Linked DNA regions of Lytechinus pictus. The protein of the gene in region 1 binds, or shares a complex with, the protein of each later gene. Links are inferred from orthologs where the notes say so. Each region holds a gene or a part of one and is shown on either strand. Other genes may lie near its edges.

Evidence for each region. Proteins that work in one complex are often made in the same cells at the same time.
Region 2: nuclear pore complex protein Nup205-like (region 1) and nuclear pore complex protein Nup153-like share a complex: the UniProt entries of both Drosophila melanogaster proteins name them as parts of the nuclear pore complex. The link is inferred for Lytechinus pictus from reciprocal best matches to the Drosophila melanogaster genes Nup205 and Nup153.
Region 3: nuclear pore complex protein Nup205-like (region 1) and nuclear pore complex protein Nup85-like share a complex: the UniProt entries of both Drosophila melanogaster proteins name them as parts of the nuclear pore complex. The link is inferred for Lytechinus pictus from reciprocal best matches to the Drosophila melanogaster genes Nup205 and Nup75.

The regions. Positions count from the first base shown.
Region 1 is NC_087263.1:7,645,095-7,655,643, forward strand, and holds the start of nuclear pore complex protein Nup205-like, read left to right. Parts: upstream 1-4,079; 5' UTR 4,080-4,137; coding exon 4,138-4,165; intron 4,166-8,070; coding exon 8,071-8,213; intron 8,214-10,009; coding exon 10,010-10,181; intron 10,182-10,450; coding exon 10,451-10,549. UniProt on the Drosophila melanogaster protein: Plays a role in the nuclear pore complex (NPC) assembly and maintenance, but with limited role in NPC permeability. Required for specific nuclear import pathways such as Mad import.
Region 2 is NC_087261.1:28,250,839-28,261,387, forward strand, and holds the start of nuclear pore complex protein Nup153-like, read right to left. Parts: upstream 5,309-10,549; 5' UTR 5,101-5,308; exon of another isoform or gene 4,924-5,100; intron 4,676-4,923; 5' UTR 4,545-4,675; coding exon 4,464-4,544; intron 1-4,463. UniProt on the Drosophila melanogaster protein: Component of the nuclear pore complex (NPC), a complex required for the trafficking across the nuclear envelope. Functions as a scaffolding element in the nuclear phase of the NPC.
Region 3 is NC_087254.1:31,796,847-31,807,395, forward strand, and holds the start of nuclear pore complex protein Nup85-like, read right to left. Parts: upstream 5,305-10,549; 5' UTR 5,246-5,304; coding exon 5,213-5,245; intron 1-5,212. UniProt on the Drosophila melanogaster protein: Component of the nuclear pore complex (NPC) that seems to be required for NPC assembly and maintenance. Required for nuclear import of phosphorylated Mad via importin msk.

The DNA of each region.
Region 1 (10,549 bases):
TACAAACAATTAAAAGACTCATTACATAATTATAAAAAAGAAGTAACCTTTGTAAAAACTGACATAAGAAATATGGATGTAATTAATAAGGCAAGAATACTTAGGCAATGAAAATGAATATACATAAGATAATGAGGAAGTGGTAAATCAAGAATAATAAAAACAAAATAAGCAAGTTGTAAAAGGTCTTTAAAATATATGAATATTAAATAAGTGTTGATTTCCTCATTTATCAAAATAATTGATATTGCAAGTATTCATACACACTTAAAATCTTGGGCAATATACTGTCCACTGTGTTGGGTAATGTATGTTGGTATATTCTGAGCAATTATTATCAAATTTAACAAATTTATTATCCAATTTGGGCAGATTTTAACCAATCATTTGTGGACAGTATGTTGCCCAGGGTTGATTAAAAGTTAAGCATTTTTTGCCTAACTATTTTAAGAGTGTATATGATATTGTTTTTAAATGAGTAATGGGTATACTGATTGGGCATGTCTTTATTCAGGAGTTGGGGCTACATGTATTTCGAAATCTATTAGGTATGAAAGAAAAATTCCTTTAATTGCAAAATAATAGAAGAAGTAAAAATAAGACCACGTGAAATTCTGAACTTTGTATATCACCCGAATTGATCAATTTTAAATGTTTTTCATTTGTGTGAATCGTTTAATTTTTAGCATGGCGTAGCCTAGATCAAAAGCTTCGGTCTCTGTTATGTTGGTTGTTCAGCTGAACTCCTTTGGCTTCACTCACCAAATACAGAGACCGAAGTTCTAGCGCGATCTGTACAGGGGACTCAATGACCATATGTTTATGTGTATTAAGTTCGGATAAAACAGGGCAGTGAAGTTGCGCGACAGCCGAGGTAAGTCACTGTTTTTGTTCCTTTTAACTTGATTTTCCCCGTTTTGGGGCAATTAATGCCAAGAGGGAATATTAATTTGCATTTCGGTCGCGTTAATTTTCAAAAGTTTGATTCATTAAAGACAAAAAATTGAAGAGCCCCGACGGGGGGATTTTGCATTGTAAGTCCCCTAACGGTGGCTGCACGATAGCGAGCCGTCTTGTGTATGAGGAGAATTAAAATAAAAAATAATAATAAAAACAATGAAAATTAGACAGGATATGATTCCCCCCCCCCCCCATTATTCATTTAATTATGCCTATTGGAACGCCAGTACCCAATCTGAAGTTAAAAGTTAAAAAACGACGAAGCGCCACTGAACTAGAAATATTTCTAGTTCAGTGCGAATAGTCCGGGTTATAACTGAGCAAGGTGCCACTTGGAGAAGGAGAAATTTTCATATAGTGCCTCTAGACCAGTTTTTTACGCTGAATATGAATATATGAGGTAAACAGGCTGTATCCTGAAAATTAACCTGTGAGGGCGCTTTTTTCAAAATGGCCGCCATATTTTCTGAGAATTTGAATTTTCGTACATAGATTTTGACATAAGCATTCAATTGCCATAAAATTAGTGTCATATGAAAGCCAAATAAATTCCCTACAATTTGGTACTATTTATAGGGGATAAGTTGGTCATTTGGTTGAGATTTTAAGTAGAAAACTGCATTTTTTGTATTTTTTTCCCAAAAATTAAAAATTTTACAAATACATGATTTTACATAATTCTATGAAAAATTTATTAATTACCTTGAAATGTTCCTGAAAACTTTATTGATATACTATTATCATGTGGATGAAATTACAACTCTGTATCATTCTTTTTAGCAAATTTATAAGGTATCAAACTTGAATACTTCAATTTCAGAAATGTCGCTTTTTGTATGCATTTCCATAGATTAATACGTATAACATGTATAATACATGTATGTATAATACATGTATGTATAATGTATAGTTAAAACTTAAATGCTATTATCTCCACTAGTTAATCACTTGCAGAGTCAGGAGTAGGCTTTTCTCTATCAGCTACATAAAACATTTTCAGGGGGTGGGGGTGTCGAAGTCCTCCCCCCCCCCCCCCCCCCCCGTTGCTATATCATGTTGTTGTATATTGCCTATTTGTTAGAAAACTAACTGTTTTTTGGAGCACCCATTGAGGCAAAAGGCAATTCTTTATAGGTAGCTGATAGAGCAATTAAAGCATATTCTGTCCTCCTTAATTGGTTTCAAGGCAGTAAAAGTGGCAGAACTATATATCAGAGTTGCCTTTTTACCTCAATGGGGGCTCAAAAATTGTGAATTTTCCAATAAATAGGCAATAATGCAAAGGGGGAGGGGGTGATTTCGACAGACCCCAGAAGGGGGTAGGCTTTTATTTGCCAGCACATCTTTATAGCTGATAAAGCAAAGCCCATTCTTTCCTCTCTTAGCGGTTTCAAGGCAATAAAAGTGGCAAAACTATATATCAGAGACGCCTTTTTGCTTCAATGGGGGCTCCAAAATGGTGAATTTTCAACAAGTAGCCAAATACCAAAAATTAGTGGGGTAACTTTTACAGCCGCCTGAATGAGATAGGCTTCAATTTGCCAACACTTCTTTATATGGAGCTAATAGAGCAAAGCCTACTCTTTGCTCTCCAAGTCATTGCAAGAAAATATAATTTGCTGTACTATAATAGTAGAAACGCCCTTTTGCTTTAATGAGTGATCCAAAATTGTGAATGTCCAATAGATAGTCAAATACCGAAAATTGGTGAGGTAAATTCTACAGCCCCCGAACATTCTGAAGGGGATAGCTAGGCTTTGATTTGCCAACACTTCTTTACAGCTGATAGAGCAAAGCCTACTCTTTCTTCTCTGAGTCATTGCAAGAAAATAAAATTGGCTGTACTATATAGTAGAAACGCGCTTTTGCCTCAATGGGTGATCCAAAATGGTGAAATATCCAATATAATAGGCAATATACATGATATAGAGGAGGGGGGGGGGTTGACTTAGACAGCCCCTGAGAGGGCTAGGGTTCGACGTGCCAGCGCTTATTAATATGTAGCTGGTAAACTCTACTCTACCCTACTCTTTCCTCTCTAAGTGGTCTCAAATCAATAAAATAGGGTGTACAACAAAGCACAAACGCTTTTTGGCCTCAATGTTGTGAATTTTCAAATAAATTGGCAATATTAAGCAAAAGCTCCCCCTCCCCGAGAGGGGTAGGCTTCGATGTGCCACTTCTTTAGATTTAGCTGGTAGAAAAAAGTCTATTCTTTTCCTCGCCAAGTGGTTTCAAAGCAATTAAAGTGGATGTACTGTATAACAGAAATGCCTTTTGCCTCAATGGGTGCTCCAAAAAACCTTATTTTACTAACAAATAGGCAATATACAACAACATGATATAGCAACGGGGGGGGGGGGGGGAGGACTTCGACACCCCACCCCCTGAAAATGTTAGGCTTCGATGTGCCAAAATTTTGTTTTATGTAGCTGATAGAGAATTAAAGCCTTCTCTTAACTCTGCAAGTGATTAACTAGTGGAGATAATTGCATTTAAGTTTTAACTATACATCATACATACATGTATCATACATGTTATACGTATTAATCTATGGAAATGCAAACAAAAAGCGACATTTCTGAAATTGAAGTATTCAAGTTTGATACCTTATAAATTTGCTAAAAAGAATGATACAGAGTTGTAATTTCATCCACATGATAATAGTATATCAATAAAGTTTTCAGGAACATTTCAAGGTAATTAATAAATTTTTCATAGAATTATGTAAAATCATGTATTTGTAAAATTTTCAATTTTTGGGAAAAAAATACAAAAAATGCAGTTTTCTACTTAAAATCTCAGCCAAATGACCTACTTATCCCCTATAAATAGTACCAAATTGTAGGGAATTTATTTGGCTTTCATATGACACTAATTTTATGGCAATTGAATGCTTATGTCAAAATCTATGTACGAAAATTCGAATTCTCAGAAAATATGGCGGCCATTTTGAAAAAAGCGCCCTCACAGGTTAATTTTCAGGATACAGCCTGTTTACCTCATATATTCATATTCAGCGTAAAAAACTGGTCTAGAGGCACTATATGAAAATTTCTCCTTCTCCAAGTGGCACCTTGCTCAGTTATAACCCGGACTAGAAGCGCAAAAGAAAAATGTATTAACCCTAACATGACGTTAGATGGCGCTCTAACCGTCTGCTAGAAATCGGTCAAAATGGCAGAACGCATGGCGGTTAATTTGGGTAAGATTCAAACTCCTACTTTTGTGAAAATTGTATTTTCCTTGGTTCCATAACCCTTGAAATAAACTGATTCATTATGTTCAATGTTGATAGTATGCGTGCTAAGGTGAATCCAGATGATTATTTGCAGTAGATCTATAAGATTTATATCCATTTCCAGGGGGTTATTTGACTGAGTTCAGCGAGTTCGTTTCTTTTCACCGCCGACGCTCTGGCGATGTTGAGTGTCCAGTCTCGGTGGGTGCGATCTCAGGCGCGCGGCTTGCGGCTCCTGAAATGAATCGGGTAAAAATGCCAATTCGTCTACTGCTAACTAACAAATTCAATTTTTACTGGATTTAGACGCTAATTGTGAAATGGGAAATACCATAGCCATGGCATAGGCTAAAGTAAGGGTAATATTTTTGATGTTTGCACTTTGTTTTAAAAAAACAAAAATTAATTTAAAACAAAAAGTCAATAAAAAAAAAATGAAAAATCTGATTTAACGTTAGAATTTTAAAAAATCCGATTTAGACTAGTCTAAGTCTAGAGTAAAGTGCCCAAATACTGGGGCCCGTTTCTCAACACCTGGACAAGTTACTTGTCATATCTTTGACTCTATCCACCATTCACCAACCACGGTGATAGTTCCAATCTTACTAAACCTGTTTCTCGAAAGGCTTCCTAACTAGCAGTAGAGGCGCACGGCCAATATCATATGGGAGACTCTCCCCAATAGGGGAGACAATCTCCCACATTGGAGACTTGCTTTGCAAAAGGACAAAAGAAACAACACCAACAAAAGCATGATTTTTTCCACCCAAAATTTTGTCTCACCGAGGTCAGAAGCCCATTCGTTTTGTGTGTGATTGACAACAAAAATCCTTTATCAAAACAAAAGTAGACGGTGAATATTTAAAGTAGACTTTGAAAAGGGGTAATTTTTCATGAGGAATCTGCTTATCACATTTTTATTTGCCGCCAAAGTAATCCTTTTGCAGCAAATGTAAACAAAGGAAATTGGACTCCAAAACTGGAGACTGTCTCTGAAATTGGATACCCAAATTCTTTACAAAAGTCTCTGATATTGGAGATAATCTCCCACATTGGAGACAGTCTCCAATATTGGCCGTGCGCCTCTACTGACTAGAATACCTTGATATCGATACTATCGCCTTCGGTAAAAAGAGCAGACGAGACGTAGCCTTAGTCACAAACTAGCATAATTTTCAAAAAGAAAAATTATGACAAAATTGCAAATATTGTGATGAATTAGGAAATGCATCTTTTCAAAATAATAGCACATGTAAATTATGCATCATACATACTTAGACCATGAAGATTAGAGCATTCAATTGCTGAGAAAATTAAATTATGAATAAATCATTTCATGACTAGAAAATCACATGTGGACGTTGAGATGGGTACCCACGGGACATCGAATTTTAATAGTTTGCGAAAGTAAACCATAACGGTTTTCTTTGTAAAATGATGACAATTTATACGCCCTTCTACGATTCCAAACATCATCAAAATATAGTTTAACAAAAAACAAAAATAAATCTTTGAAACTGAAACATACGATTTGACAAATTCTATGCATAAATTAGAGATAGAATTTATCCAAATGTTAATAGGGGTTTGAAAACGACAAATACGAGTCCAGTTATGGATGGCCTGACGTAGAATCTTTATCGATTAAGTCATTTTACTATTTCAAACTGAATGGTTTTGTGGCGTTTTACCAACAGTTTTTATAGTTTCTTTCTATTAGAATTATCATTGAATGCATTATCCCACTTGTTTTGTGATGTAATTTCAACCTCTATGATTGATTACGTAAGATTGTTATTTTCAAATATCTAGGCACTTTTGCTTGTCATAGTCTATCCATGTGATGCCACTACGTCATTAAGAAAGAAGTTATGACAGGTTCGGAGGTGTCATAAATATTTAGTAAGGTTGTTGTACCCGATCTTGGTAAAGAGGGCTTCGTGAAACGGTTAGCGGACAAGTAGCTGAGCACTATCTCCGAGTTAGACTTATGACGGTGTTGAGAAACGGGCCCCTGGACACTTAAGCATAATTGGACCCGAACAAAAATACAATCATTGTCATTGAATCGTATAATTATAAAATTAAAAATCATGTTTATTTCCGTAGAAGTACAAACATGACAAATGTTGAATATTAGTGTCATAAAATTAATAGAAAAAAAAATTAGCAGGGTGCGACATAGACCAAAAGCTTCGGTCTCTGTTAGCGTTATGTTGGCTGTTCCGCTGAACTCTGTTTGCTCCACTCACCAAATACAGAGACAAGTTTTAGCTCGATCTGTACAGGAACTCAATGGCCATATGTTTATGTATTTTACTATTAAGTTAGGCTAAAACAGGGAAGTGAAGTTGCGCGACAGCCGAAGTAAGTCAATGTCTTTTCCCCGTTTTGGTGCATTTTAGGCCAAAACGGAATAATCTTTATTTTTGGTACAGTTCTTTTTATATATACATGTATTTATGAAATAAAGACAAAAATCGATGAGCCCCGTCGGGGGGATTTTGCATTGTTAACCCCCTAATGGTGGCTGCACGATAGCGAGCCGTCTGTGTACGAGGAGAAATAAAAAAGTTTAAAATGTAAAAAAAAATCCTCGAAAAAGACGGCTGCCAGCTGTCTAGGTGCTACATAGCTTTTTATTCTAGAAGCACTTGCCCAGTCGGGCAAGTAGATTTTTAAATAGTTGTAATATACTTGCCCAAAAATCTATTTCACTTGCCCGAAAAATCATTAAAAAATGTTTTACCTCTCCAAAAGAAGGTTTTGCAGTTGTTAAACCATTGACCCTTTTCTCTCTTGACATGAAGTTGAACTGATGGTCTACTTTGTTATTGCATTTCTTTTTCCAAAATGATTTTATCTTGCCTGCCATGACCAAAATTAGGGTCAATATTTCAAATCAACCCTAATTTTGGTCATTCTACTGTGAGAATTTTGTTTGCCCAATTCGGGCAAGTAGTTTTGATCTTTACTTCAAAACACTTGCCCGACTCTAACTGTAACTTGCCCTGGGCAATCGGGCAAGTGCTTATGTAGCACCCTGAAATAGAATAGAAAAATAATGGTAAATGGAAATTATTTACTTAGAGGAAAGTGCCCAAATATTGGACACTTTTAAAAAGCATAATTGGACCAAAACAAAAATACAATCATTGAATCATATAGACCCGTTATAAAAGTCCATTTTTGATGCACGTGTACACGGCATGTTTTTCGGTCGTGTACACATAAACACAAACAGCCAGCTATGTTAGGTTTGATAACTTGCATCTCAGAATTTCCACCAATAATTCATGATCTGATGATTACAAATACAATTTTTTTCAACTTGATTTTTCTTTCATATAAGCAAATATAAGGTGTAAAAAAAATGACTGTAGATTGCTTTGATATCGTAAATGCCAATATCGATCACTTGAAAGTTTGTGCAGGAGATCGGAGATGACACAGAGATGTTGTTTTTCTCTCCCCCCCCCCCTTTCTCCGTCTCTCCCTTGATTTAGCGCGTATCAGGTAAATTAAGCGTAATTTATACAGGAAATCTGCATAAAACATGGACTCAAACGTGGGTTTTCAAAACCATCTTTGTGAATTTGGGCTGCAGTGTTTTGATTGTCTGGCTGAGTAAATGTCTCATCAACCAATCTCTAGATATTGGAGCAAGACATGGCCTCAGCACCGCCAACATAGACAAGAGTTATTTAACTTTCAATTTTTTGCTTGGGTTGACTTGATGTTTAATGCTTGTTTGATTTTTCTCTTTTCATTAAACTTTTGCTTGGATTTCCCTTTAATTAAGGAAGGATTGAAGTGGGGTAGTCATATCAGAGTTCCATTTTTTCATTGAATCTCTATTTGTTTTACAGGCTCCAGGATATGGGGTCCATACAAGGAGCTCTACCATACGGTCTCCCTCATCGTCTCCAAGAGATGCCCGGATCCTTACCAGGAGCTTGATGCTATCATCAGAAAACACAAACCAGACTTTGTCGCCCTTCTTAAGAATCCAGTAAGTCATTAGTACATTAACTTCAAGTCCACCCAAACACAATGTGGGTTTAAATAAAAAGAGGAAAAAGATATGAGCATTAAACAGTGAAAACTTTTTGAAATTAGATGTAAAATAAGAAAGTTATGCCATTTTACATTTTCGCTTTATTTTTTACAAAACGGTTATGCATATATGCACAACACAGTTTTGTGAAATTAAGCAAAAATTTAAAATGGCTTAACTTTCTTATACTACATCCAATATTAATGTAACTCACTGTTTTCTACTTTGACTCCTCTTTTCATTCAAATCAACTTTATGCTGGAGAACCAACCCTTTTGTGACTTAAGTCACCTAAATGTGATTGAGCGCACGCTTGCTGCTGTTACCAATATTATTTTTCGTAATATTACAATGAAAATCATTCCCTCCGAAAAATAACAATACCCCTATTTAAAGTTTAGTATCGTCTGAAGAGTATGTTCACTGATCATTTGAATGAATTTGAATACAATCTTGTACTCACTCTGCTCTTGTAGTGTATGTGAAATTTCAGTATCCGAACTCTTGTATCGCTAGTCGACCTTCGACAAGTCTAATTATCACCTATATCACTGAAGCAACTAATCACCTAACTCATGGAAGCAATATCTTGTCAACTGTGTTCAGTCAAACAGATTTCTGTTGTTGTAATGATTTCTTTGTGAGTCTGCCCATGATCTACGATTACATCTTTAAAAACTCTGCAAACTATGAAATTATTTTTCAAAAGTTATATCATTCTCCCCAATCGGTTCTGTGACATTTGTCGGTGACAATTGTAGGGACAGTGATTTTCCGCGATCGCGGAAAACGGACGGAATTCACGGAATCGGCCTTTTGAAACGGAAAGTGGCTTTTCAAACGGAAAATCACAGAAAACATGATTTTTCCCAAAATGCACAAAATAGCAACAGAAATTAATCCCAAATCCTCACCAAAATACGAATATCAACTGAAAAAAACACAATCTCACTTTGCAACAACAATCATGACAATCAACACATCGTAACTACACTCGAGCCCCTCCATCACTCGATTGTATCTAAATTAGTTTACACTCACGTCCGCATATAAGGCAGAATACGGCCGTGTGTTGCTGCCCTCTGCGTTCGGTCATAATATAATGATCACGGTGATTCAACAAATCCAAAATGGCGGATAGGCAGAAGTCGTCGACTGCTCAAAACGATGTCCGAAAAGTCCCCAAATCAGCGATAAAATCCCATTTAACCATAAAATAATGCGAATAATATGAAAGGTGAGAATGTATTCATGTTGATTATGTTTCTCTAAAGAGTTTTTGAGCTCGAATCTCTTCGATAAAAATGGATTTTAAAGCGATGTTAGTACATTGGTAGATGCAAATTTTGACCAGCGCTAGCATTTTGACATCGCTACTCATTGCGTATTGGTTTTCTATGTAAACGGAATTGTCACTTTTTCATGTACACAAAGTCTATGGGGAAACGGAATTTCCGTTTTCAGACGTGCTGAAACGGAATTTGAGATTTTCTGAAACGGAAAATCACTGTCCCTACAATTGCTCCGATGGAAAATCTGCATGTGAAGCCAAACATAAAACTTAACCTCCAAAACTAAATAATCCTTAATCCCATTCCCAATCTTTACATTATTCTGAAACTAAAATCTCTATTACAATCCTATTAAACCCTATGCCCTTCTGAGATATTAAGACTAGCAAATCACCTGTATCGATTTTGTTCATCGCTAGTATTCTTATTACAATTGTCTCATCTGATTTGATCCTCTAGGCAAAGAATTCGCAACACAGAGAACAGATCAAGAAAGCTGATGTTGATGGCGTCGTTATTTCAGGCCAGGCTAGGAGTCGCGTGCTACCAAGGCAACTCATTGAAGAGGCTCTTATCATCAGCGACCTATTTGATCTGAACGAGTATGCAGCTGTGGAGCTACTTCTGGCAGGTAATTGGGAACCCTTCCAATACTCTGTGCCATGTCTACTGTATGTAGACAAGATTTATTATTTTAGTGTTTTCCATATTACGAACTGGATATTTTACAAACAATACGCAACTGGAAAAAACAACATTTTGAGTATTTCCTGCTTATATTGATGACATCCAAGCTCTAGGACTTATTAATTGACATGTATTTGGTGTAGCTTTTCACCCATCTGCATTGCGTATGTATATTACATTGGAGCATATACTTATCCTTGTTTCTTTCATTAGGAGACCAACAGCAGCCTCATTTTCCTGGCCTACCGCGTGGGCTAGTCGCTGTCCTTCTCTACTACGATGGTCGATGTAGCCTCATCAACACCCTGCAGC
Region 2 (10,549 bases), on another chromosome or scaffold:
CGATGCCGAAGATTTCAGTGGATTTTGTACCCAATTCCTCCCGAGTTTTCTCTCTAAACGCACGGCGAGACCAATGCGGAAGTGACCGTGTTTTTCCACATTTTGATCATTAAATTGCTTGGGATTGGCAACTGGTAAGTCTATGAAAAATGTGGGCTAACTTCAGCGAAAGAACTTTTGATAGAGATTCTGATGTCAAAAGTACATAGGCCCCGCCCCCTCAATCCAGAAATAATGATGAAAAAACTAAAAAAAAATATGATCCCGTGCATTTTTTGAGCTGCACATTATATGGTCGTTAGAAAATCGTATTCTAGTGTTATTCCTGTTGGTTTCATGCCAATACCTATCAGGGTTTTGGATTCCCAAGCAAAAAACTAAAAATGACGTCATCCAGTGCTGTTGAATATTCACGTTTCCGACGATCTTTTCGATCACGTGGTTACGATTCCTCATGAATATTGATGAATCGGTAGCGTGGCGCGACGCTTGACTTTTACGTCTAGTCTAAAAAACAGTCCTTTTTTTGAAAATATTAAGAGAAATACAGTCGCTGCCATGTAAAGTGAGGAAAATCAATCGAATGAAAAAAAATAAAAGACTGGATATTAGTCTAAATTATTTATGAATGGAATTTTCCACAACTTGAATGGAAAGACCGCATGCGAGAGATCAAATGGCACATGTTCGACCCCAAGCCTGTCAAGAGACACAGGGAATTCCCCTGATTGACGCAGAAATTCAAAGCTTGATCGATGGGCTTCAACATTCTATTTGAAGAAATAAAATTCAGAGAGGATGAGAGAGCGTGAGAGAGATAGGGGGGGGGGGAATATCTGGGATTAAATTGCTGATAATACAATGAAACTGTTATTTAAACTAAAAAGTTATTTTTATAATTTAGCTCTAAAAAAAAATAGATATAATTGTTATTTGTTTAGACCTGTTTTTATTACTTTTTCTACTTGCCTTTATCAAAGATTTTCCACTGTTGCTTTTACTCTGCTTGACTCATTTTTTTTATTTTATTTTCTATTTTTTTTTTTTTTTTTGGGGGGGGGGGGGTGTAAATAGTTACCTAGAGGTATGCAAATTTTGGCGTATCCTCTGTTATGAATTTGCACCAGCTCCACCACTCCACCTGGGCAGCTTCCTCGTTGGAGTAAAATAATAAATATATGTCTTCGTGGAGACAAAAACTGCTGCAGTTGATATGATAAACAAAACAATATGCCTTTAATGTCATAAAGACATTGATATCTTTGCAATACGCCACAGCAGGCATTGTTGCACGTGTTGCACTGCACCGTATCGTATTTGATTTGATGAATGAAATGAAAATAAGAACGGGTTTCATGACATGAACCAAAGGGCACAGAGTAACTTGAACTTGTAAATGGGGAAATTCCACTCAAACATAAAAGATTATTCTAAGCATAAAACTGAAATAATTGATATGTTTGATACAGTGCTATATTGTTATGGATGTTTATGATTTAGAGGTAAAATTAATGTTTATGATATAGAGGTAAATTATGTTTGTTTCTACTGATACTTTTACCGATGTGTTCAAGTCACCCCCATTAATAAATTAACTTTCTAACTTTAATCGACAATGAAAACAAGTTTCATGAAAACAAGTTTCAGCTTGTCCTGCCTTTTTCACCATGGATCTTCACAGATACGCTCCTCTAAACCTCGTATTAAAAAAAAAATGCATTTATGGGACAATATTTACCACTTCTGAATTTTTTCTAAGTCTGGTAACAACATTTGCTCGTTGTAATAATATTCCATACCTAAAAGAAATATTTATGGACGTACATATTTTCGTGTTCTTCGGTAATTTCGAAAAAATAATCATAGAAATAGATTGGTACAGACAATGGCCGGGGTGCATCACAGGCACATGTGAGGTGTTTTTAGTTTAGGTGAGTACTATTATTACGTTTAAATATATATATATATTTTTTTTTTTTTTTTTTTTTAATAAGGCCTATGTTTTTAATTACAGGAAATCACACACAATATTTACATAATTAGACATGATCGTAAACAAACAAACAAAAATAAAACAACATTTAAAAACGTAAATTATAATATATCTTAAAATTGGCAACGGCATGTCATGACTGTGCATTTATGCCTGGGAAGCTAGCTAGCTGCGGCCGGTCTAGTACCGTATACGCAGTGCATCAGTACCGGGTGCGCTGGGCATGGCAAGACCGTGACTACGTTCGGAGTTCTGACGGAGAAGAAAAGATGGAAATAACTTCCACCAAAAACATGATCTAGAAGTCGAATATGTCAAATGATCATCATTTATAGGTATGAAATATGAATCAACGTTTATTTTTAAAGAAAATCGTAAATTTCTATTTATGGGGAGAGTTTTACTTTTTAGAATGCATTTTTCGTAAATAACGTCTCGTGCACAAGCTACCACAGACTACGAGCCGGGCTGCAGCGGCAAATTTAAAATTGAATATTAATTTAAGGAGGTCGTTCGAAACTAGCTATTCATCGACCATTTTACGTGACAACTAGCTTCGGGGAAGTTAGGGGGCTGAATCGGTTATCTCTGTCCCTTTCTGGTCTCACAAAGGCCATAGTTTGACACTTAATATCTTCACTTTTTGGAAACCTTTGGAACTGGGAGTTGGTATGTTTGCTTTGATTTTGTTTTCTCTTTCATGTCATTGTAAATAAAAATGTGAAGACGTTCAAATAAAAATTTTAGGATTTCAATTTGTCCACCCTAGTATTGGTTTTAACGTGCATAGGTTGTGACTCTCCTATACACGGGACCAACATTTGCGTCCTTTCCGATGGACGGAGTGTTTTCCAACTGCATTCACACCCGCACTGAACACAGCGGTGAGGCACGTTAACACACAACGCTAGCATCAGTTTTTTTGTTAGACGTCTTCCGGCATGCTGCGGGACTCGAACCCACGCACGTTGAGATCTACGATCTTTTCCGGAACAGGCGCTCTAACCGACTAAGCTACACTACACTGAGGTCAGAAGCCCATTTGTTTTGTGTGTGATTTACAACAAAAATCCTTATCAAAACAAGAGTAGACGGTGAAAAGGGGTAATTTTTCATGAGGAATCTGCTTATCACATTTTAATTTGTCGCCAAGGTAATCCTTTTGCAGCAAATGTAAACAAAGGAAATTGGTCTCCAAAACTGGAGACTGTCTCTGAAATTGGATACCCAAATTCTTTACAAAAGTCTCTGATATCAGTAGAGGCGCACGGCCAATATGGGAGACTCTCTCCAATAGGGGAGACAATCTCCCACATTGGAGACTTGCTTTGCAAAAGGACAAAAGAAACAACACCAACAAAAGTATGATTTTTTCCATCCAAAATTTTGTCTCACTGAGGTCAGAAGCCCATTTGTTTTGTGTGTGATTGACAACAAAATTCCTTATCAAAATAAAAGTAGACGGTGAATTTTTAAAGCAGACGGTGAAAAGGGGTAATTTTTCATGAGGAATCTGCTTATCACATTTTTATTTGCCGCCAAGGTAATCCTTTTGCAGCAAATGTAAACAAAGGAAATTGGACTCCAAAACTGGAGACTGTCTCTGAAATTGGATACCCAAATTCTTTACAAAAGTCTCTGATATTGGAGATAATCTCCCACATTGGAGACAGTCTCCAATATTGGCCATGCGCCTCTACTGGATATTGGAGATAATCTCCCACATTGGAGACAGTCTCCAATATTGGCCGTGCGCCTCTACTGACGATTAGTTAAGAAGTACCGATGGTGATATTTTGACGCGAGATATGGTGATTTAGGTAAGAAAATTTCACTTTTTATTTGAGATTTTGCCCAAGTAGCAGGATGATTTTGTAGTGTGAGAGTTAGTGAATGTGTAGTGTAAATGTCTAGAGTGTGTTGGTGATTTCAGTGGTGTATTGCTGAGCCTGCCGAACGGCCGCACACCGACGCAGTCCGTAACAGTTGGGAAAAACATTAGATGGCGGCGTAAACATCGGGCGAGTCTCGTCCATCTTTTCATAATATTTTGCTCATTTTTTTGATGAATTCTTGTTTAAAAATGAAATCGATAGCGTAGAAATGTTGGAAATTAAGTTGTATCCCATAGTTTTTTTTGACAATTTGGTCTTTTTTTGGAAAAAAATTTCTCAATCATTCTCGAACAGATTCACTGGTCCTTACATCATCATGTACGGTAGGTCAAATAAAAAAAGGACAAAAGTAAGCTTATCTATCAACACCCCTCATTTTCTTTAACTTAATTTGAAAATCAACCTGTCCATTCATTCACATACATTACACACACGCAGCGGCACACATCGCATGGACACATTGGTTTCTACATGTACGTGCATGTACGTCATGCACGTCGGATCGACATGTATTTTCAATACGGTTAGCAATGGCAGTTTGGCACGACTGCGCGTGTGTGATCATTCATACTCACCTTCGGTTTTGGACGTTCGTATGGTTTACGCGAGTAGTGAGATCGTTTCGGGCGAAATTTACCACCAGACGGGGTTGCCATGGCTAGTTGAATATGAACTGACCGCCACAGCAACCTTCACAAGGGTTAGAATAAGTTGATAATCTTCGAAATTAAGAAATAGCTCGTAGTGTTTCCATTGAATTTCACAGTAGATGAGTCAAGATGGCGGCCTTTTTCAAAGAAGTTGATTGGTTAAATGTCACGTGATTTTCTGCACTTTTCCCCTTTTATATTACATGTCTTTTGTCACTCGGTAAACGTCGATTTTTAGGAGTCAAATCGAATCGAAATTAAGCTGGATGCATCGATTAGTTTAAAATTATTATTGAATTACTTTTAAATAATTTTTTAATTTTTCAAAAAGTTAATTTAAAACTCATTTATAAACAAATTATTTTAGAGGGTACTTTTTTATTTCGCCATTTTGAAATGTTAGCGCGCGCGCGTGCAGTGCAGTGCTCGTGCATGTTACGTAGGTCTACGTATAGGCGAGACGTTGGTGAATGAATGAACGTATCGGATCTGCAGCGTACTACTACGGTACCCCATCGCTGCCCGGCGCACTGGCTGTATACCGCCGCTGAAGCTGACCGACCTCCTGGCCTGTAGCTGCCGCTGCAAGACAGATTAACGTTCAAGCTCTTGTTGAATCTAGATTAGCTCTTCCTCTTCCTGACGAGAGATCCAGTTCTTGAGTGAGTTGAACTGAGGAGTCTCTAGAATAGTATTAGGCCAGCAGCTACCAGTCGGACTCGGAGCCGCTAGCTGAGCTGAGTGTTTTTCTGACTTCTGTGAGTGTGAGTGTGACTGGAGTGTCAGTGACAGTGTCATGTCAGTCACTGAGGCTGAGCAGTAGAGGCGCACGGCCAATATGGGAAACTGTCTCCTATGACTGGCATGAGAAGAGATTATCTCAAATATCAGAGACTTTTGTAAAGAATTTGGGTATCCAATTTCAGAGACAATCTCCAGTTTGGGAGACCAATTTCCTTTGTGTACATTTGCCTCAAAAACTAAACTTAAACTTTAAGTTAAACTTAAACTAAAAGTCTAAAGTAAAGTTTACCTTGGCGGCAAATAAAAATGTGTTAGTGTTACTGATAAATATTAAGCAGATTCCTCATGAAAAATTACCCCCTTTTCACTGTCTACTTTAAAAAATCACTGTCTACTTTTGTTTTGATAAGGATTTTTGTTGTCATCCACACACAAAACAAATGGGCTTCTGACCTCAGTGAGACAAAATTTTGGGTGGAAAAAATTACACTTTTGTTGGTGTTGACTGTTGTCAGTGTTGATTCTTTTGTTTTGCAAAGCAAGACTCTGGCTATGCTATTTTTTCTGCGTATCCACTGGATCTCGCAGTTCTCCAGGACTGGAGGAAATCAACAGAAGAAGAAGAAAAGAAGCTATGGGCATGATGGGAGATTATCTAGAGTCGTAGATAGTCTCCCATATATCATAACCTTGTTCATTGAATGAGTGCCCATATTGGCTGTGTGCCTCTACTGCTGAGGTTCATACTCATAGTCATAGTACATACTCGTCATACATTATTTACATAACATAACGTTAGACATACACATAGGCTGAGGCTGTGGCAAGATTTTTTTAATGATCACCGGCTGCAATTGCAAGAATGACAGAAGTGCAAAAACACTTGGTATTGAAAACTCAAAGTAGAACCAAAAAAATTAATGATTTAGGGTCTATTTTTTATAGCCTAGGCTTAGCCTTAGCTTAAAGGGGAATCCAGCCTTGGCTATAAAATGTTGTGTTGAGAAGGAGAAAAATAAATTAAACAGAATGGTGAAAGTTTGAAAGAAATCGGACAAGCGATAAGAAAGTTATAGCTGCTTTAAAATTGAGATCACTAATACTATGTAGATTTCAAATTGGCAACTGAGTAAGTAAATTATGACAAGGGGCAAGGACAACTTTCCCATTGGCCAGGTACTTTATTATCAGGGATTTGTGGTTTTCTCCTAAGTCCCTATTCCCCTGGGGCAGTAATCTAAATATAACCCAAGTAGTATATCGTTTTATGTCCTCATGAAAGAAAAATATAATTTGAAATAAAACTTTTGGGGAAAATGACATTTTAGCCATAATATGTATTGGAGTACATGGAAGAGTAGTCCTTGCCTTACATCACTATGACTTCCCATATGCGGCCAATTTGAAGTCTCCATGGGTATAGTGATTACCAATATTTATGACTTTTAAAAATTCATAACTTTCTTGTTGTTTGTCCAATATTGTTCAAACTTTCACCTTTCAACTTGTCTGATTTTTCTTTTCCTTATAAATACAAGTTTTTATTTGGGTTGGATTCCCCTTTAAGTTCTTTTGAATGTATGTCACCGACAGTCACTGTTGACTTGTTGTGTTATTTAACAATTATTTTCCTGTTTATTACTTGAATCAAACATTCATCTATTGTATCATTCATTTTCATCTTGTAGTTGTACTTTGTATTTACTGTAGGATGGGGGTCGGGTGTCCGGACACTTATATTTTTGAAGCCTTCTTTTTTGTCTTGGGATTACACTAAAAACATGAATTCAATTGTTGTAATCATCTTCTATTTTGTTCTCTACAATATTTCCGTACATTTTGTAAAAAAAATTGATGAAACTTCGCTTGTACATTTTTCCAAATGACTTTCTAAAATTGATCGTCCGGACACACAACCTGTCCGGACACACAACCACTCACTGGCTCACTGCTACCATCCTGCCTGTGGGGAATCTACAGGTAGGACTATGGTAGGACTGACCGCGATTTATCGCTAATCTCCGAAGAGCGGAGGATCAAAACAGAGAGAGAGAGAGAGGGTATGCCAATGCTGTATAGAGCACACACTTTAAAAAATCATTAAAATATCACTTTTGTGACCAAAATTATATTAATTTATATACAGTTGCAATTCAATTTTCATTAGTAACTTAGAATAATTTTTGTGTTGACCAGGGGCCCGTTTCTCAACACATGGACAAGTTAGTCATATCTTTATCCACCAACCACGGAGTTAGTTCCAATCTTACTAAACCTGTTTCTCGAAAGGCTTCCTAACTAGAATACCTTGATATCGATACTATCGGTAAAAAGAGCAGATGAGACGTAGCCTTAGTCACAAAATAGCATAATTTTCAAAAAGAAAAATTGTGACAAAAATTGCAAATATTATGATGAATTGGGAAATAAATCTTTTGAAAATAATAGCACAGGTGAATTATGCATCATACATACTTAGACCATGAAGACTGGATCATTCAATTGCTGAGAAAATCAAATTATGAATAATTCATTTCATGACTTAAAAATCACTTGTGGACGTTGAGATGGGTACCCCCGGGAGACCCAATTTTAATAGTTTACGAAAGTAAACCATAACGGTTTTCTCTGTAAAATGATGATAATTATACAGACTTTTACGATTCCAAACGTCATCAAAATATAGTTTAACGAAACATTTTTAATCATTGATACCGGAAGATACGATATTGGACAAATTATATGCATAAATTAGAGATAGAATTCATCCAACTGTTATAGGGGTCTGAAAACAACAAATACGAGTTCAGTTATGGATGGCCTGACCTTTATCGATTAAATCATTTTACTATTTCAAAATGAATGGTTTTGTGGCGTTTACCAACAGTTTTTATAGTTTCTTTACATATTACAATTATCATTGAATGCATTAACCCACTTGTTTTGTGATGTAATTTCAACCTCTATGATTGATTACGTAAGATTATAATTTTAAAATTTCTAGGCACTTTCGCATGTCATAGTCTACCCACGTGATGCCACTACATCATTAAGAAAGAAGTTAAGACAGGTTCGGAGGTGTCATAAATATTTAGTGAGGTTGTTGTACCCGATCTTGGTAAAGAGGGCTTCGTGAAACGGTTAGCGGACAAGTAGCTCACTATCTCCGATTTAGTCAAGAAGTTAGACTTATGACGGTATTGAGAAACGTGCCCCAGAGTGTTAAAATACTTGAATTTTTGGCATATTTTTGTGTACGCCCTCTATTGGTGGAAAGTAATATGGCAAGAAAATTTTCATTTTTCAAGCTCTATTTTTTAATAAAGAAAAAAATAATTAAAAAAATCAAATTTACTTAAGATCCAAATTATAAAATGAAAAGCTGTAATGGAAACTGACAGTGTAAAAAAATCAAGCATTTGTCCAAAATAAAAAGGGAAAATAAGCCAAATATTGTCAACCTTATTTTGCCACACATGGAGATGTAACTGAGAACAAGGTTACCGGTATATCATAACCTTGTTCAATGAACGAGTGCAACAACTGGGTATACAGTAGACTCTGGACTGTGAGAATTAATTAAATCCTCTTGATTGGTCAGTCAAATCAAGCAGCATTTGGATGAATATAATTCTAGCCAGAATTTAGATAACTTGGTCTGGGTTAGAGTCTTAGACCAAAAGCTTCAGTCTCTGTTATGTTGGTTGTTCCGCTGAACTCCGTTGGCTCCAACTCACCAAATAAAGAGACCGAAGTTCTAGCTCGATCTGTACTACATAGTACAGGGACTCAATGGCCATATGTTTATATATTAAGTTCGGATAAAACGGAAGTAAAGTAGCGTAACAGCCAAAGTAAGTCACTGTTTTTTCCCCTTTTAAGTTTATTCCCCGTATTAGTGCATTTCAGGCCAAAACGGAATAATAATCTTTATTTTGGTACAATTCTTTTTCTATATTTTTATGAAATAAAGACAAAAATCGATGAGCCCCGTCGGGGAGATTTCTCGCATTGTTAACCCCCTAATGGTGGCTGCACTTTAGCGAGCCATCTGTGTACGAGGAGAAATTAACAAAAGATAAAAATGTTTAAAAAACTTCTCGAAACAGACGGCTGCCAGCTGTCTAGGTCTGGGTCAACATGGTCAAACTTAAAGGACAAGTCCACCCCAACCATTAGTTGATTTGAATAAAAAGAGACAAATCCAACAAGCATAACACTGAAAATTTCATCAAAATCGGATGTAAAATGAGAAAGTTATGACTGTTTAAAGTTTTGCTTAATTTCACAAAACAGTTATATGTACATCCTGGCCGGTATGCAAATGAGGAGACTGATGATGTCATCCACTCACTATTTCTTATGTATTTTATCATATGAAATATGAAATATTCTAATTTTCTCCTCATTGTCAAGTGAAACAAAGATTAATTCCTCCCTGAACATGTGGAATTAGCATTGTTTTAATACTATATTGTTCAGTCAAGTTGGTCCTTATTTTCAAATCTGTAAAAAATGAAATATTGTATAATTCAAACAATAAAAAACAAAAGAAATAGTGAGTGATGGACATCATCGACTGTGTCATTTGCATGTCACTGAGATGTGCATATAACTGTTTTGTGAAAAATAAGCGAAACTTTAAAATGTCATAGATTTCTTATATTACATCCGATTTTGATGAAATTTTTAGCGTTTTGCTCGTTGGATTTTTGTCTATTTATTCAAATCATCATTTTTCTAGGGTGGACTTGACCTTTTAGGTTCATTTCGAATTAAATTAATTGGTAAAGTTAACATTTCATTTATTTTTTCCAAAGTGTTATAATCAAAGTTAATGAAAGTTATTGGATATCTGTCTGCATTGCATGTGATATTCTGAAGAATTGAATCAGTCAGTTTCATTTTGGTGCTTTCTTTATTAAAGCAAACACTGGTTGAAGTCTTTCAAAATCACTTTGTTATTAAAATACATTAAGATTTTTCTTGTAAAATTACTTACTTGGTATACTTGGTAGATTAGCCCTCAATTCCTTAGGGAAGGGCTCTCAGTCGTTTCTTAAATGTAGCCACTGTAGGTGCAGACACAACTTCTTCCGGAAGTTTGTTCCACTGATGGACCACTCTGTTACTGAAGAAGTGGTCGGTTAGTTGTGTTCTGGAACGTCTTTGGAACAATTTTCAAGAATGACCTCTAAGAAATTTTTTAGGTCGAGAGAAGAAACTTTGGGCTGAATTTCCATAGTACCCATTTAAATATTTGTAAG
Region 3 (10,549 bases), on another chromosome or scaffold:
AAGTTGTTAGGACAAAGACGTATACTAATAGCCTCCTTAATCCTGCGTGTATACCAATGTCTCTCTTTGGCAATGCATTGTACACCCTCCCAATCTGGGTGGTGTTGCTTCTCCCAAGCATGTTCTGCCACCGCAGATGTGTCGGTTCGCTGTAACCGAACATCGCGCTTGTGTTCAGAAATGCGTTCAACTATCGGTCGGGCTGTTTCTCCGATGTAAGACCCGTCACATCCCTGGCAAGGAATGTTGTATACTACGCCATCACGTCTGTGGTCAGGGACAGGGTCTTTGGGGTGTACAAGCTGTTTGCGTAAGGTGGTGTCCGAGCGGAAAACCGTTCGGATACCGTGACCTTCTAATCGGCGTTTAAGTTGTTGTGAGAGGCCATCTATGTATGGCAAGACTGTGCAAGTCTTGAAAACCTTCTGATCCCTTGGTGGTTGTTTTTTCTTGAAAGTGTTCTTGATAAAACGGCGTGGGTAGCCGTTGCTGTACAAGGCGCCACGTATGTGTGCTATTTCTTTCGGGAGTTCAGGTGGGTGAGTTATGATACGTGCTGCTCTGTCGAACAGGCATTTAACGAGACCCTTCTTGACCGATTTGTCGTGATGAGAATCATATGGTATGTATTGGTCTGTATGAGTGGGCTTGCGGTAGACAGAGGTGGAAAGTTTCCCGCCCTCGTGTCTTTGGACTAGCGTGTCAAGGAATGCTAATTTCCCTCCTTGCTCAGTCTCCAGAGTGAACTGGATGGACGGTTGCTGGCTATTCATGTATGAGAGTAGGCTGTCTGTTTCGGATCTATTTACGATTATGAAAGTGTCATCGACGTATCTCTTCCACACCCGAGGGTGGCATGCCTTACCTGGCAGTGCACGCCGACCCGATCGTTCCCGGCCCCGAACGAGGGACCGCTCAGCTAGTCAGCCCCCGCCCACGGGAAACTAGCGAGCCCGCCAATTTTGTCTAATTTGCATATTGCCGACCCACGGCGTATTTGCATATACCCCCGGCGTATTTGCATATACCCCCGGCTTATTTGCATACACGGATTACCGGCCGTACCGCATCCGACGCAACGGATCAATGCCCACCTATTGTTCTCGTGTTCGTGCGTACGGTCCCGGAGATTAGTATAAATAGAATACGTCATCAGATAATTTTCGTCACTTGATAAAGAGTTGCAGCGGCACTCGAAAGCTCGTGAACTTGTAAGCTAGTGAACACTTTTTGCGAGAGTGATCACGAATTTCCTAGAAAGCCAGTGAACACTTTTTGCGAGAGTGATCACGAATTTCCTTGTTGACCATAGTAGATTGCGAGACAAATGAATACCCTCTAGCGATTATTTCAATCCGCAATAATGAACCTATTTAGTATCTTGTTTCTTATTCAGTTATTGTAATTCCCCAACGTTACGCGACGCTCGTAGATCTTTTAGAAGGAAAGTAGAAATCTCGGGGGTGAAAGTTTCAGGTTTTGACTTCCTTTGTGTGGGTCTATGAGATAGAAGGCCTGGCTTCGTATGAGAGTAACCTTACGTTAGTAAATGATTTTTACTCTCTAGAAAGCCGCCTGGCTAGGTCTGAAGTAGACCAAAAGCTTCGGTCTCTGTTATGTTGGTTATTCAGCTGAACTCCGTTGGCTTCACTCACCAAATACAGAGACCGAAGTTCTAGCGCGATCTGTATACCCAGTTGTTGTGTGTCCGGACAGGTTGTGTGTCCGGACGATCAATTTAGAAAGTCATTTGGAAAAAATTACAAGTGAAGTTTCATCAATTTTTATTACAAAATGTTAGGAAATATAATAGAGAACAAAATAGAAGTAGGGTGTCTGAAGCCACACTGAAAAGTGTCAGCATAAGAGAGGCTGATTTAGAGGAAAATATGGCACATTTTTTTTGGGAAGTTCAGGCTACTAGAAAAATGTGATCTGAATTGATTATTAACTTGTGTTTGGCATGTATGGAAAGAGAAAATTCAGGGGCTTCTTTTGACAGTAAGGACAAGTTTATATGATCATTTTAAATAAGGATTTAGAGATAAATTGCAAACCCTTATTTTTGTGTGTGTTGAGATTGCCATTTCCCCATGCATTTTCTATGGGAAAATTAAATTTCTGTTTTGCACAATTTTTTTCACTTTGTCGCAATTTTTCATTGTGATCTGGGGCCCGTTTCTCAACACCGTCATAAGTCTAACTTCTTGACTAAATCGGAGATAGTGAGCTACTTGTCCGCTAACCGTTTCACGAAGCCCTCTTTACCAAGATCGGGTACAACAACCTCACTAAATATTTATGACACCTCCGAACCTGTCTTAACTTCTTTCTTAATGACGTAGTGGCATCACGTGGGTAGACTATGACATGCGAAAGTGCCTAGAAATTTTAAAATTATAATCTTACATAATCAATCATAGAGGTTGAAATTACATCACAAAACAAGTGGGTTAATGCATTCAATGATAATTGTAAAACAAAGAAACTATAAAAACTGTTGGTAAACGCCACAAAACCATTAATTTTGAAATAGCAAAATGATTTAATCGATAAAGATTTTACCACGTCAGGCCATCCATAACTGAACTCGTATTTGTTGTTTTCAGACCCCTCTTAACAGTTGGATGAATTCTATCTCTAATTTATGCATATAATTTGTCCAATATCGTATCTTTCGGTATCAATGATTAAAAATGATTCGTTAAACTATATTTTGATGACGTTTGGAATCGTTAAAGTCCGTATAATTATCATCATTTTACAAAGAAAACCGTTATGGTTTACTTTCGTAAACAATTAAAATTGGGTCTCCCGGGGGTACCCATCTCAACGTCCACAAGTGATTTTTTAGTCATGAAATGAATTATTCATAATCTAATTTTCTCTGCAATTGAATGCTCCAGTCTTCATGGTCTAAGTATGTATGATGCATAATTCACCTGTGCTATTATTTTGAAAAGATTTATTTCCCAATTCATCATAATATTTGCAATTTTGTAATAATTTTCTATTTGAAAATTATGCTATTTTGTGACTAAGGCTACGTCTCGTCTGCTCTTTTTACCGATATTATCGATATCAAGGTATTCTAGTTAGGAAGCCTTTCGAGAAACAGGTTTAGTAAGATTGGTACTAACTCCGTGGTTGGTGGATAAAGATATGACTAACTTGTCCATGTGTTGAGAAACGGGCCCCTGGTTTCCAAATCTTTATAAAAATCATACCATCAGAAAGAGCATAAAAAATCCTATTCGACTCTTTATGGACAAGTTTTTGGCATTAATAATAAATTTATAACAGCTCTCGGAAGCTAAAAATTTGGATTTGTGTGTGTCCATTTCTTAACTACACAGTCTATGGCAGAGAAATGCTGAAAATTGACCTAATTTCATTCTTCTTTTTTGCAGCCAATAATCGGATTTTTTTCAAAAATGTTACATTTCTGTCAGTCTGAAGGTCATTTCTCTTCAAATTCACAAAGAAAATGTGATATTTTCTTGAAATAAGAAAAATAATATTTTTCTCCAGACACCCTAATAGAAGATGATTACAACTATCGAATTCATATTTTTAGTGCAATCCAAAGACAAAAAAGAAGGCCTCAAAATATAAAGTGTCCGGACACCCGACCCCCCATCCTACCACTCTAGGCGACACCCCAATACTTACCCGTGCTAATAAACTGGGACTCCACTCACGCGCGTTTGGGCCTCCCTAGCTTAGAACTAAGCACTAATATCACCTTAAAAACTAAATCTACAAGGTATGTATAATCTATTTACAACTTTAATAATGTTTAATCGGTACTCACCGGTTCTTTTGTTGCATTTTCAGACCATTTCTCACAATTCTTCGTAAATATTTGCGGCAAATTTTGTCGCCATAGACAGCTTAGCATCCATCTTTATTGATAAATGGAGCGCCCTTTACGATAGTTGTTAATGCCGCGGAGAAATCGTTAGGCATTTTGGCCTGTGTTCAAGGCGTTCTTTCTGTTTTATTTTTTATATTGAAGATTGTGCATTTGTTGAATAGCGCCGTCTACGTCAGGTATGAGATCGAGTGTACAAATACACTCTTCCAAAATAATTATGATTCCGACCTGGCGCTGTTTAACTTCAATCTCTTTCACCTAAATTAGGGATGAATGCTAGCATTATAAAATATATATTATTAACGTCTGACGAAAAGAATAACCAACCGATCAGCTGACGAGAACGCGAATCACGTGATCTTCATATCAGCTTCGATCGCGAGTCAGAAGAGAAGAGCAGCTGCCCAGAAAATCAGGAAAAAGCCGTGAAAATGTAAGTTCCCCTTCATTTCTTTCATTTTTTGTTGTTGCTAACGATGCATTTACACTATAAAATTATAATTTAAATAAGAGAAAGGAATATAGCTTGTACTTGTGATATAATGTATAAATATCCTGTTCTCAGAGATTTCTAACCAAAAATACTACTGATGTCGCCTATGAGGTCCATACATGTAATGTTGGACCTCATTGGTACTAGGAGTGCATCCTACAGGGGACTCAATGGCCATATGTGGCATATGTTTATGTGTATTAAGTTTGGATAAAACAGGGCAGTGAAGTTGCGCGACAGCCGAGGTAAGTCACTGTTTTTGTTCCTTTTAACTTGATTTTCCTCGTTTTTTTGGCAATCGATGCCAAGAGGGAATATTAATTTGCATTTCGGTCGCGTTAATTTTCAAAAGTTTGATTCATTAAACTTTTTAAGACAAAAAATAAAGAGCCCCGACGGGGGGATTTTGCATTGTAAGTCCCGGCCCTAATCTGCTAATGGTGGCTGCACGATAGCGAGCAGTCTGTGTATGAGGAGAAATTAAAAAAATAAAAAATGTTAAAAAACTCCTCGAAACAGACGGCTGCCAGCTGTCTAGGTCTGAACATGCTGAAGCAGTGAAGGGAAGCTCCACCGCGCCGCTCCCGCTGGTTGGCATATCAGATCAGTTTCAGAGCCAGAGTTCGACTTCGAGACAGGTCCTACTCAGACAGTCCCACATGTTAATTTATTTGTAACGGTTATGAAGATAAAACCCAACAAACAAATTCCATCACGGATTTTGACTGAAAATCTCGAAATAAAACATTTTCAGTTGACCTAAGATATAAAGCGAACAAACAAATAATTACTGATTACCACAAAAATAGATAACGTACCATAATAACGTTAAAAATACGTACCAAAAATGGAATTTCCCGCTCGTACGCCGCCATTTTGTTCCTTTAAAATCGCTGAACGCGAACGTCGATCGCCGGCTATCGATTACTAGTCTGCAGGCACAGACCCTGATTGAAATTTTGATCAACAAGTATGTCTCCACGCAAAGACTAGCACATACAAAACTTGCTGTTTCAGTAAACGAGGCATAAATAGGCTGCAATTCAGACCCTTAACTCTAGTGAAGGGTTTGCACAGCAGACTAATCGATTACTGGATGGCGCTGGTCGGCGCGGGGTGGCCGAAGGTTCGGGGGGGGGGGGGTTCTTCTTTTTCTTTTTATTTGGCAACCATGAATTTGACTATTTTCGCCATCATAAATATTGCATTATTCACGTTGTTTTCTTTGAAAAAAAAAATTATATAAAGTAAAATTCAAATATTTTTTTTTTCTTTCTTTTTCTCTTCTTTTTCTTTTCTATTTATTTTTTTTAATTATTTTTTTATTTTTAGGGTATCGAGGATATAAAGTCGAGTAGGTGTGTCTCAAAAAATTAAAACCAGGGCTTTTACTCAAAATATGTTAGATGTATAGGCCTACTAGTATGCAAGTGAACCTAGGATGGAGATGACAGAGAAAGGAAATGAGGAAAATCACATATCCAATCCTACACCCGTACCGGAGTATGGGGATACGTCTGTCCCGTTGATGTGAACATCAACGTCTGTGAAGTCTCGATCTTTCCCGGAGACAAGACGCCTTTAAATCCTACCTACTTTGGGAGACGAGCCCTTGTAGGATGGAAAGTGATTTTGGGTGAGTTTGGGGGGGGGGGGGGAATTGAATACATGTATTTATATATATTATATATATATATATACACACATATATATACTATATATCAATCCATATATACATTAACTGAATGCATTCGTGTTGAGGGTTCGATTAGCCTCTTGTCGAGGCCCTGGCGGCTGCTTCCCGAGCGAAGCGAGGGATATCCTAATTCGCTCGGGAAGCAGCCGCCAGGGCCTCGACAAGAGGCTAGGGTTCGATCCGTTCGACCCCGGGAATGTCGAGCCTCGATCGAGAGATTGATTTTTTTTCTTCAATTAAACCACCTCAAGCACAGATGGTTGCTCGAACCCTGTGTCTCAGCAACTCGTCGTTTTGTCATAATAGCCACCTTTCGCAAACCTCAGGGACGGTAAGATTAGGGTCCCCTAATCGTACATTCGATTTTCACGAGTAATTGTACATTATAATCAATGGAATCAATCATATAAAACTGTTCTACATTCATTGCTAAGCTTTGTGATACAGGCCCTATATAGATCTGCTTTTCGTGTGCAAACTCTTTCACGCGACACCCGTTTTCATGCATGTGTACGTCTGGTCATCATCGTATATGCCCCCTGAGCCGGCGGCGAACCTCTACTAGCTATGACAGCTGGCTGGAGATATTCGAAATGCAGGGCCCGGGGCAGGGCCCACAATAGATTATGACTTGGATAAAAAAGTGTTTTTTCAAACAAATCGAGTACATATTGAGTGAGGAAAAACTTACTGAATTAAGGCTTAGATAATATAGATCATTACAGTCCATCGAATCGATATTGTATTTAATGTGGATTATTGGTGGATCACTGGCAATTGATTCCATGGGTCAGATGACCTCTCCAGCTGAAACCATTTCGCATGATTTGATATCTACATAGCATATATACCTCTGAATACCAGCCGAAATTGCGGGTTTTTTCTTTTGTTTACTCCCCTACACAAACAATATGCCTCTAGCACACAATGCAATGTAATTATGTTTTACTTTCCCCAGAAATGGGGGATTAGATTCAAATGGGGACCACTTCCATTGATGAATGGATACCAGGCACGACCATGCGGTTTCGAAAAGCAACCTAAACAAGGATCGAAGCAAGGTTTTTCCAGATTATGAAAATGCATCTCTTAAGTATTTGGCTTGTGAAACCCTACAAGTATTGGAAATATATCACTTTTTTAAACATTGACACCCTTATAACGTTACAAAGGCCTATATACTAGTACGTAACGTACTTGCCCACTCTGTCCCCTTTTACGCGTGGTTGCGCCTGGTATCCACTCGGCAATGGAAGTGGGCCCCCCAGGCGGCCTCTCGAGCTCTGGGAGGAGCCAAATGTGGCTCTGGAAAGTCGTCCTAAATCGGATATATCGCTGTTACCATAGAAGCAACCATAATTTTGCACACGAAACGCATATTGAATGTTTCCGTTGCAGATGCGAAACGTAAAAAAATCTCATGTCACACAATTTGCATTGCAGGACAGAGTTTTACGACCATGACGACGGGCCTAAAAGTCTCTTCCAAAATCAACTACCGTCATAAATAAGCGTTCGCGTTCTCCAACGAAAGGTCGGGATTATCTAAATTCTCCCCATTCTCATATCTAGTTCAACGGTATCATAGACAAATACAAATCAAATATACATCACATATAGGCCTGCATAAGCAAATACAAATACAAATCAAGTACAAATCAATTACAGAATAATTACAACACATTAATTTGTAGAATATAAACGTGGAAATGAGGGAATAAAGAAAACACTACTTAATTGTATAGATCACAAGGGCGGAAATCTCTCCTCAGGGGTGGGGGGTGGGGCACAACCGAGTTTTCCATTGTTCTTACATTCACACACACACACACACACACCCCTACACACACACACACACACACACACACATATATATATATATATATATATATACATGTTGTACATGTATAACTTTACATATATATATATATATATATATATATATATAGTATAGTAATAGGGTGGAGCGAGTTGCTTAGATTTTAGTTGTACAGACTGTTTCCCCCCGAGGGTTCATCAGCTGGTGAACCCTCGGGGGGAAACAGTCTATACAACTAAAATCTAAGCAACTCGCTCCACCCTATTACTATACTACATGAAGCTTCTATATGTACATCACATGTGGTTGAGCACTTTTCAGTAACTGCAGTTTCGTATACAGTCATTATATATAATATATATATATATATATATATATATATATATATATATATATATAAAGCTTAAACCTATTTGCTCACACATTTTTGTTGGTTATCCTACTCTGAAATGACATTTGTGTCTTTGGAACCCCGGGCTTTGGAAGTACTAGATGATTGCGGCCTCCAAACCCAATTTATAAATAGACGCCTTATATCAGTACTCCATGCGACTGCAAAAGATAAGTCGAGAAACGCATAGCCAAAAACGGTCCTCACAAAAAGTGATAGCATAACGCGACTTACGACCCGTGCCTCTTATTGATAATGTCATGTAAAGCACTTTTTTTTTTGGGGGGTGGGCTTTATTTTGACACATCCCTGATGCTGATACACACCCATCATCATCGTCATCACCATCATCACCATCATCACCATCATCACCATCATCATCACCATCATCATCATCACCATCACCATCATCACCATCATCATCACCATCATTATCATCACCATCATCATAATCATGTTCATCGTCACCATCATCATCATCATTATCACCATTATCATCATCATCATCATCACCACCACCATTATCATCATTATCATCATCATCATCATCATCATCGTCATCATCATCATCATCTTTTCACCCTCCCTATTCTTCTTCTTCTTCCGTGAAAAAGCTAAGCAACGCTAACCGGATGTAATTACCATTATTATGTACCATTCAGTTAAGTGTTAACCGGCGTTAATATAGGTTTACAATCAACTGTTAGCGATTTCTATGTTTATGGTAGCAATTCAAGCAGTTATTAAACTCTTGCGGTGCGATTCATTATCTCCATTCATGTTCAGTTTCATATCGGCAACAGAAGAATGTACTAGCATGATAAGGACACTGTGCAGTCTGGTATGAAGTAATCTGTCTTTAAAAAACATTGTCTTGTATCGGAAGCTATTGGAAACCAAAAATCGATTTCCATTATCGTTATAACATGAATTGCAATTACTTAAAAATAACCTTAATGATAGTGTATATTTGTTAGAAGAGGAATTTGCACTAAAATTCATCATTAATCAAAAGTACTAAAGCCCACTATTGCATATTGAGACATTATATTTGAACAAACTGTTCAGTTTTCTTGTTCAAAGTTAAAATAGTAGATTTCCCTGCCACTTCTTTACACACATCATTACTTGTCCTGTTTATAATTATATGGGAAATTGCAGAGTAGCGGACATGACATTTTGTATTTCAAAGCATTACACTTCAGAAGTTTTCGCTCTTCTCGCTGGATTTATCAGACAAATTTTACATTCAGTTGTAACTTGTAAACACAATAACTTTTTTTTTAACAATTTCAATAAACGGTTGTAGGGAAAATGCACCTGTGAGCGTAACGGATGTGGCATAAAATGGTCATGACTTCTTTTTTTTTAAGAATTTTCCTGGATTCGGTATCAATGCCATTGAGTCTAAATTACATCAAAAAGTAAAATATTATACATTATCACTTTTGAATTCATTGGATTAGCAACCCAAGAGGTCAACATGGCCAACTTAAATAACACTTTGATCATAATCTAAAAAAAAAATGGAAATTTTAAACATTTTTTAATATTTTCTTACGGCCTACCCGAGCGAATAGGCAATCCTATGCATACATGGCAGAGCTATTTGGTCGCTGATGGAATGCAGGATGTGCTCATTGATGGGCGCGCAGTTGCGGTATACAGCGTGGTTTGCCGTACATCGTGAACCAACAAAATGCGGTGTTTTTCAGTGTTTTTCTCAAGTTAAAAAGGAAATTTTTTTGGATGCCAAAGAATAGGGGGGGCGGCTCGTCCCCCTTGGATCCGCGTCTGGCAGCACATATATCATGCAGAATGGAGGATCAAAACGAAACATTTTCATGGCATTGCCTACATGCAGAAGCAATGACAAATGAAAAGGTTTCATTACTTCGGCAGATGGTTAAATTCCCAGGTGTCACCTGCATAATTATGTTGCATGTAGCGGACAGTATCAGAACCCCCCCCCCCTGCTCCAAAACGCAGTTGCCGATATTGAGAACTTGTTTAAATTGTTTTGAACATGCACAAGCTCTACAGCCCTTCAGCTTGTCTGTTCAATGAATATTTCTGGATGAATGGTGATATGGATGTTTAATACATCAGCCCATGCAGCTAAACCAAGCAAGATAATGATATCACTTTCCTCTTCATGAGTAGCCTTGCGTGGACATGCAAGAACACTGGCCTACTGGTGGGATGGGGGCTTGTGGGGCCACAGACCCCCAACATTTTCACGACCAAGAAAAAGGGGACAGAAAGAAAGAAAA